Linked DNA regions of Schizosaccharomyces pombe. The protein of the gene in region 1 interacts with the protein of each later gene in a biochemical or structural test. Each region holds a gene or a part of one and is shown on either strand. Other genes may lie near its edges. The genes, in order: hta2 and rna1.

Region 1 (3,569 bases):
GCAAATCGTTTGACTTCTAGGGAATTATATGATTTTTTCGAACAAGCTGGTCCTGTTCGCGATGCTCAAATTGTTCGAGACAAGATTAGCGGACGATCGAAAGGGTATGTCTTATAATTTTTTTTTTTTTTTTAAATAGATATTATTCTGTTTTTTTTTATTTTTCAAATTGGGTTCGTTTGCTAACGAATATAATATAGTGTTGCATATGTGGAGTTCTGTCACGAGGATTCTGTACAGGCGGCTATTGCGCTTTCTGGTAAGCGATTGTTGGGTCTTCCTGTCATTGTACAACTTACAGAGGCTGAAAAAAATAGAAAAGCTCGTGAAGCTGCTGAGTAAGTTTTTACTAAGCATCCATTATTTTTGTCTAACTTATTTGTAGATTGGCACGAGCCGCTAGCGCTGAAATTCCATTTCACAGATTGTGTGTCTCAAACATTCACTTCAACCTTACTGATGAAGATGTTAAGGCAATTTTCGAACCTTTTGGCGACATAGAATTTGTACACCTTCAGCGTGATGATCAAAACCGAAGCAAGGGTTTTGGTTATATACAGTATGTTTTCAAAAAATTAGATTGATATTTATATCTATTTAACTTCAACGACACTAACATTATATTTTTTAGATATCGAAATCCTATAAGTGCGAGAAATGCTTTGGAGAAAATGAATGGCTTTGATTTAGCCGGAAGAAATATGAGGGTTTGTTTGGGCAATGATAAATTTACTACAGAAACAACTAGTTCCATGCTGAAGCGCTTTGACGAAACGTTGGCTCGCCAAGAACGTAGTCAACCTTCTCAACGTAATGGCGGTTCATCAACCTACGAATCACAAGACTATCGAGAAGCAGCTCCTTTATCTCCTACTGAAGAAGAAAGCCGTCCCATTACAAGAGATGAGCTAATGAAAAAGTTAGCACGCTCTGAAGACATTTCAGACAACAGGTATGTCTTGTTTTAACTTGGATCCTTTTTGTCTTCTAACATAAAGCAGTAAACTGGTATCTGAACCAGAGCCTCCAATTCGTAGTAGATGTGCATTATTAGAAAACATGTTTAATCCTGCTGAGTACGTTTTTTTTATGATTCATAATTGACTAACCTTTAAAGGGAAACATCACCTAATTGGGTGCAAGAATTGGAGCAGGACGTCAAAGAAGAGTGTGATGAAAAGTACGGCAAAGTAGTTCACATTGCTGTTGTACCGAATGAATTGGGGCAGATATTTGTAAAATTTGAAAATGCCGATTTTGCTGAAAAGGCAATCACTGGACTCCATCAACGTTGGTTCGGAGGGCGTACAATAAAGGCATCCATTTTACCGGAAACGGATTACTACTTCAAATTCCCTAATGCCAAAACTGCTTAAACGTCGCTCTCTACTAAACTTTGCTCTGGAATTGATGTGTTTTACCTTTTCTCAGAAAGTTCTTTTAAAACAAAGCTTTTTGTACTTTTGCACGTCCTGTTATATTTAGTTTAAACTACGATGGTCGATATTTAGTAGCAGACTTTTCTTTTTCCGTAAAATTAAGAGTATACTTAGTTTAATAAAATCATAAATATGTACATATATTGATTGAATTTTAATTATGTCTAACTAAATACATTCGACGAATTTGCAGGATCATATATTATAAGGTAGTATACAATCGTTCTAATCATAGTTACTGTGTCTTTTATATATTCCCTAAATATACTTAACGAAATTCGTTGTGCGTTCCAAATGCTGAGTATAATATCACTGAAACGAGTCTGCTATCATTCAGTGATGAATGCCCATAAACATCCATCAAAACCCTAACCCTGTATATTGCTGTATATAAAAGAGCTTGTCGCTGCATCATCTTCTTCTTCTCTAAATATTGGGCAATTGAGCAATCCTGCATACATTATTCCAATTTAAAACTTAAGTAATTTCTTTATCAAGCATGTCTGGAGGTAAATCTGGTGGTAAGGCCGCAGTCGCCAAGTCTGCTCAATCTCGTTCCGCTAAGGCTGGTTTGGCCTTCCCTGTCGGTCGTGTTCATCGTTTGTTGCGTAAGGGTAATTATGCTCAACGTGTTGGTGCTGGTGCTCCCGTTTACTTGGCTGCCGTCTTGGAGTATTTAGCTGCCGAAATCCTCGAATTGGCCGGTAATGCTGCTCGTGATAACAAGAAGACTCGTATCATTCCCCGTCATCTTCAATTGGCTATTCGCAATGACGAAGAATTGAACAAACTACTTGGTCATGTTACTATTGCCCAGGGTGGTGTTGTACCTAATATCAACGCTCATCTCTTGCCCAAACAATCTGGTAAGGGCAAGCCTAGCCAAGAGCTTTAAACTCTTAAATGAATGATAAATTGTATATTAAGATTATTTGTCGTTTATACTTAACTATTATTATACCACACTAATTGCTTGAACTGTTGGTTTCGTGACTTAATTCGTTCACACCTTTTTTTACGCAATTTCTCTATCAGAAATTTAGTTTTATCATTATATCAGTGATACAGAAACAAGTGCATTATTCGGTTGAGAAACTTTTTCATATGACTCATAATTCTTACGTTTTTATTTGGTTACATACTCTGTTTCAAGCTTAGTTGTTTGTACAGTACATTATTCGAGTTTGAATGATTGTTAGGTTTCCTGATGGTTGATTGACGCTTTCTTTTCTCGTTTGATGAACTTTCCGTGTTTTCCTCTTCCCTTTATTATACATTTCCTTTTTCAGCTTCCTTTGTATAGGCATAATTTGTTTATTATAGGTTTATTTTAATGAAAGAACTATTGGTTCAATATTCGCTAAACTTTTTGAGGTGCTTGTAGCATGTAATTACACTGCGTATTGTCTAGGTGCCTAAACATCAACCCAGATATATGGATTTGAATGAGTTTGGTGATTTATTATTGGTATAATTTAATTATGGTAGTAGTAACAGGGGCATTTAGGAAGTTGCAATTCAAAACATGCAAAACATGAATACTTCCAAAGCACAAAACATTTCAAAACTCTAGGGGGTTATATTTTTAATAATCTAACTATCTATAAAGCACCAAAGAAAGAATAAAATAATAAAAAGAAGATAATGTGAAAAAAGAACAAAACCAGTGAAGTGATTGCTTTAATGAAGCAATAATTATATATAACCAAGGATAAATCCATATTCCACTGCTTACGAGGATATTTAAAAAGGCTTGAGAATTTCCATAACTTTTTCGTAAACAGTGAATACAATACCACCACTGAGAATCAAACGAGCCAAACGGGGAGTAGCACCAGACCAGAAACGCAACAGACCATCTTGAGTTAAAATCTTATAAGCGCAATGAATACTGTTTTTGTATTCCTTACTAGCACTCAAAGATTGCATACGACTCTTGACAGTATCGATGGGTTGCGTACAATAAACGGTAATAATACCAGCTACAGAACCGACTAAGAAAGTGGTAACGGTACTCAACTTCTCATCTGGTGGTAATCTGCTTTGAAGGGATTGCTTGATACTATTATAGGCAGTAAAACGTACACCAGAATTAGCAGCTTGACGAGCGACAGTTGCAGCGAGACCACG
Region 2 (4,197 bases), 980 kb from region 1:
TGCTAAGGCCTTGCATATCTTCATCCAGAGGTACTAAGTAGTCGTATTCTTGTACACTTGGTTTGGAAAATACATCTTGTAAACGTTCTAAAGCAGGTGAAGCAGAAAAAGAGTTTCCAAATTGGAAGTAAATGAGAAAAGAGCTAATCCCAATGATTAACAACACGAATATAACACGAGATAACTTCCACTGTAGGACTGCCATTTTAAAGATTAGCAGATGTTAAATGCAAATTAATAAAAAAATAAAAAATAAAATTTAGTCTTTTAGAGACAAGAGAAACTCTTTTTCAAGTTTCACAAATATAAACTGAGATTGGATAAAAGCAAAACAATAAGATACCAAGAATGGATCAGAAATTATGAATGAAATGGGAAACTTTCTACTCTTTCTCGGTAGAAAATTAGAAAGCCGTTTTAAAAATTAAAATGAGATTTGTGATATTCCAAAGAATACTACGTTTGAAACACGAATCTTCGCCCGTTGACTCAAGAAACGAGAGAAAACAGTAAAAAGAAATTGAAAATATAATGTAAATTATAATAAAAAAATATGAATGAATTAGATTCTTTAAAAAATGATTAACCAGATGGACCTGGAATTAAAGGCAGTGTGTAGTGGAAGGATTGAAATTACCGCATCATGGAGTCAATCATCATAAATTTACGGTTTCCTCTACTTATCGTATCCTATTTATAATAAAAGAAGAAAAAGAAGAAAAATCTGTATGGTAATGATTTATGTTCAAAATAATGAGTTGTTCCTTTAAAATCACGTTTCCAAACTTTTAATGACATGATTCACAGTACTTAAACATTTTAACCAGTTTTATACGTTGGGACAAATAACAGGAATGGCTTAATTCAGCAATACGTCTAAATCAATGTCATGATTGAATGGGAAAATAATCAAACGATTCAAATTGTTGAAACAGGTAAAGCAGATCAAGTACTGGAATGCGGACTGAAGTCCAATTCGAGAATGGTTACAACTATGAAATGAGAATTAATTTACTGAAAAGAATACAGTATCAATGGAATAGCTTTCCTGATAATGTGAAAGCTGTTTAAAGAGTATTCTATGTGTCTAGAGTGCAGACTCGTGGATTTTCACAGTAATGAATAAGAAATGTTAAACTAAAAATATCAATTGTTGTTATTATCTTGATTTTTCATATATCTGTTAAACTCCCGCTTTCCGATTTTCTTTTTGGGTCAACTCATAAATGTATATGTGTGAGTAACTGAAATGATCACGAAACAAGCGGAAAGCTGAAAGATAGGGATACTCATTTCAGATCTTTTTGATTCTTCATTTTTTGGAAGTCACCAAGCTCTTTTGGTCAATATTCCTTCGTTCAACTTCGTATTCTTATAAATGGACTAGCGATGAGGCAAAAATCTAGCAATGTTAATTGCTAGAAATGCAATTAAGTTAAAGCAAACTTAAGCTAAGAATTCAGGACTAAGGTCACTCAAAAAGGTTCTTCATAAGATCCTCTATACTTAGTCAAAAAAACAAACTATATGCAACAGGATTGTCACAGCTATTTTTTCAAAAATGAATGATAGATAAATGTCAAAAAAGCTCAATCATCCTATTTACAAAAGTTTTATACATGTCTTTCAGGAACGTATCCGAGCACTAATGCACCACTCCGACATTGAGTATCTTTCGGTTTGCGCTAATCTGATCTAATAATTTAAATGACTTCTAATAGCATAGAATCGTCTTAAAATTAAACTCATTAGCGAGAGATCGCATTTGAGTTTGTAAATAAAAACAGGTTGAGTAAAGGGGGTATCCGTCAAAAGAGGATAAATTTCGTTCTTCTTCTACTTTGAATATTATTTTAGTTTCTTTTTTAAAAGCCATGAATTCAAGTGACTGAAGCATCTATCCTCGATCAAATTTAACATACACAGCTAGTTCACACAATCTTTCCTCACCACCATACCTGCTATATTTTTTCTTTCAACAACCAACTCCATGTCGCGTTTTTCAATAGAAGGGAAGTCTTTGAAATTAGATGCAATTACAACTGAAGACGAGAAGTCTGTATTTGCTGTTCTGTTAGAAGATGATTCTGTAAAGGAAATTGTATTGTCTGGTAACACAATTGGAACCGAAGCTGCTAGATGGTTGTCAGAGAATATTGCCTCAAAAAAAGATTTAGAAATTGCAGAGTTTAGTGATATCTTTACTGGACGTGTCAAAGATGAAATTCCTGAGGCTTTACGTCTGTTGCTACAAGCTTTACTCAAGTGCCCAAAACTACATACTGTAAGATTGAGCGATAATGCCTTTGGCCCTACTGCACAGGAGCCCTTGATTGACTTTCTTTCAAAACACACACCTTTGGAGCATCTTTACCTACACAATAATGGACTCGGTCCTCAAGCTGGCGCAAAAATTGCTCGTGCCTTGCAAGAGCTGGCGGTCAACAAGAAAGCTAAAAATGCACCTCCCTTGCGTTCCATTATTTGTGGAAGAAATCGTTTAGAAAATGGGAGTATGAAAGAATGGGCTAAAACTTTCCAGAGCCACCGTTTGCTACATACAGTGAAAATGGTGCAAAATGGTATCCGTCCCGAAGGTATTGAACACTTATTGCTTGAAGGATTAGCATATTGCCAAGAGCTAAAGGTACTCGATCTTCAAGATAACACATTTACGCACTTGGGCTCTAGCGCTCTCGCTATCGCGTTGAAAAGCTGGCCCAACCTTCGAGAACTAGGCCTCAACGATTGTCTCTTATCTGCTCGCGGTGCTGCCGCAGTTGTAGATGCTTTTTCTAAATTAGAAAATATTGGGCTTCAAACGTTACGCTTACAGTATAACGAGATAGAGCTGGATGCTGTCCGGACCCTAAAAACTGTGATTGATGAGAAAATGCCGGATCTTTTATTCCTTGAATTAAATGGAAACAGATTTTCGGAAGAAGACGATGTTGTTGATGAAATACGTGAAGTCTTTAGCACCCGTGGTCGTGGTGAACTAGATGAGCTTGATGATATGGAGGAACTTACCGACGAGGAGGAGGAGGATGAAGAAGAAGAAGCTGAGTCTCAAAGCCCTGAGCCGGAGACTTCTGAAGAAGAAAAAGAAGACAAAGAACTTGCTGATGAGCTATCAAAAGCTCATATTTAGAGCAACTACTTTCCCTCTCGAACCCTGCTCCGCTGTTTCCGAAATTTTTTAACATATTTCTATTGTTCATGCTAGGCGGTAATGAACGATTGTGGTCAACGGATGGTCTATATCGACCATTCGATTTCCTTCTGCATTTTTATCAACATTCTGTCTTTTTACGCGGCAGGACCGATAAATAGTATTAGATTAAATCTGTATATGACAGAAAAAAAATTCCCCTTTCAAAAATGGCGAAAAGGTTCTTTACGTTTTATTAATAACCCACTTTAATTAAGTATTGGGTCAATATAATATGGTTTGGATTGTATCTGTGTAAAGTTGTTTTGTTGTTATGTCGTAAAGCCTGAACTATTTTTTCAGTATGTCTGTAAACCTCGAGATAAATTTTCTGTAAGTCGCAGTTAACTTTTAAGAATGTGGGGATTCCATTACTTGAGCTTGGTGTTTCCAAATATGATTGTACTACTGCAAGGACGAATTAGAAGCTTCACCTAGCATAGTACATACTCTACGTCCAACGCCATCTATTAATGTCAAATCCACCAACTCGGCCAACTTTGTATAATTTGGTGAATGCTGATGGTGAATTGTCTTACAGAGCTCGTGATTTAGTACAGGATTTTTCTGTTCCAATTCCACATGAACTGCCGGATCCTGTAAGTTCACAGCTTCTGCCAATACTTGTTTAACTAATCTTTTTATGTTTAGGATTTAGTTCATAGCATCCAGGATTTTGCAACAGAATACATGCTTGCGACAGGGAAAAAGTCATTCGAGTGTTTGGATGAAAGTGCTTTATTGGGGTTGGGATATTTGGTGACTGAATGGATGGATGCTATGGTTACTGATTGTTTGGAAGAATTTGAAGAAAGATGAATTATCCTTGTACATTTTACTTTTCATTCGTTTGTTTCGAGATGACTCCGTTACATTTGTATGACTAACTTTGATGATTTTTCTATATGGCGTAAAGTTGTTAAACAGCTATGAATGCGTATTTGTGTATTGAAATTTTTATCTTTTGATAATTGTTTAAAATCAAC

The links.
Region 2: the proteins of hta2 (region 1) and rna1 form a complex in vitro, tested with the Schizosaccharomyces pombe proteins (one study listed by BioGRID).

What each region holds. Positions count from the first base shown.
Region 1 is NC_003424.3:4,051,617-4,055,185, reverse strand, and holds hta2 (histone H2A beta), read left to right. Parts: upstream 1-1,867; 5' UTR 1,868-1,938; coding exon 1,939-2,334; 3' UTR 2,335-2,740; downstream 2,741-3,569. Other genes in the region: RNA-binding protein Rsd1, read left to right, coding at 1-104, 201-338, 386-559, 632-952, 1,002-1,076, 1,118-1,376; mce1 (citrate transporter), read right to left, coding at 3,183-3,569. UniProt on the Schizosaccharomyces pombe protein: Core component of nucleosome which plays a central role in DNA double strand break (DSB) repair. Nucleosomes wrap and compact DNA into chromatin, limiting DNA accessibility to the cellular machineries which require DNA as a template.
Region 2 is NC_003424.3:5,029,794-5,033,990, forward strand, and holds rna1 (RanGAP Rna1), read left to right. Parts: upstream 1-1,977; 5' UTR 1,978-1,990; coding exon 1,991-3,151; 3' UTR 3,152-3,468; downstream 3,469-4,197. Other genes in the region: alpha-1,2-galactosyltransferase Gmh3, read right to left, coding at 1-205; RNA polymerase I upstream activation factor complex subunit Rrn10, read left to right, coding at 3,685-3,810, 3,863-4,030.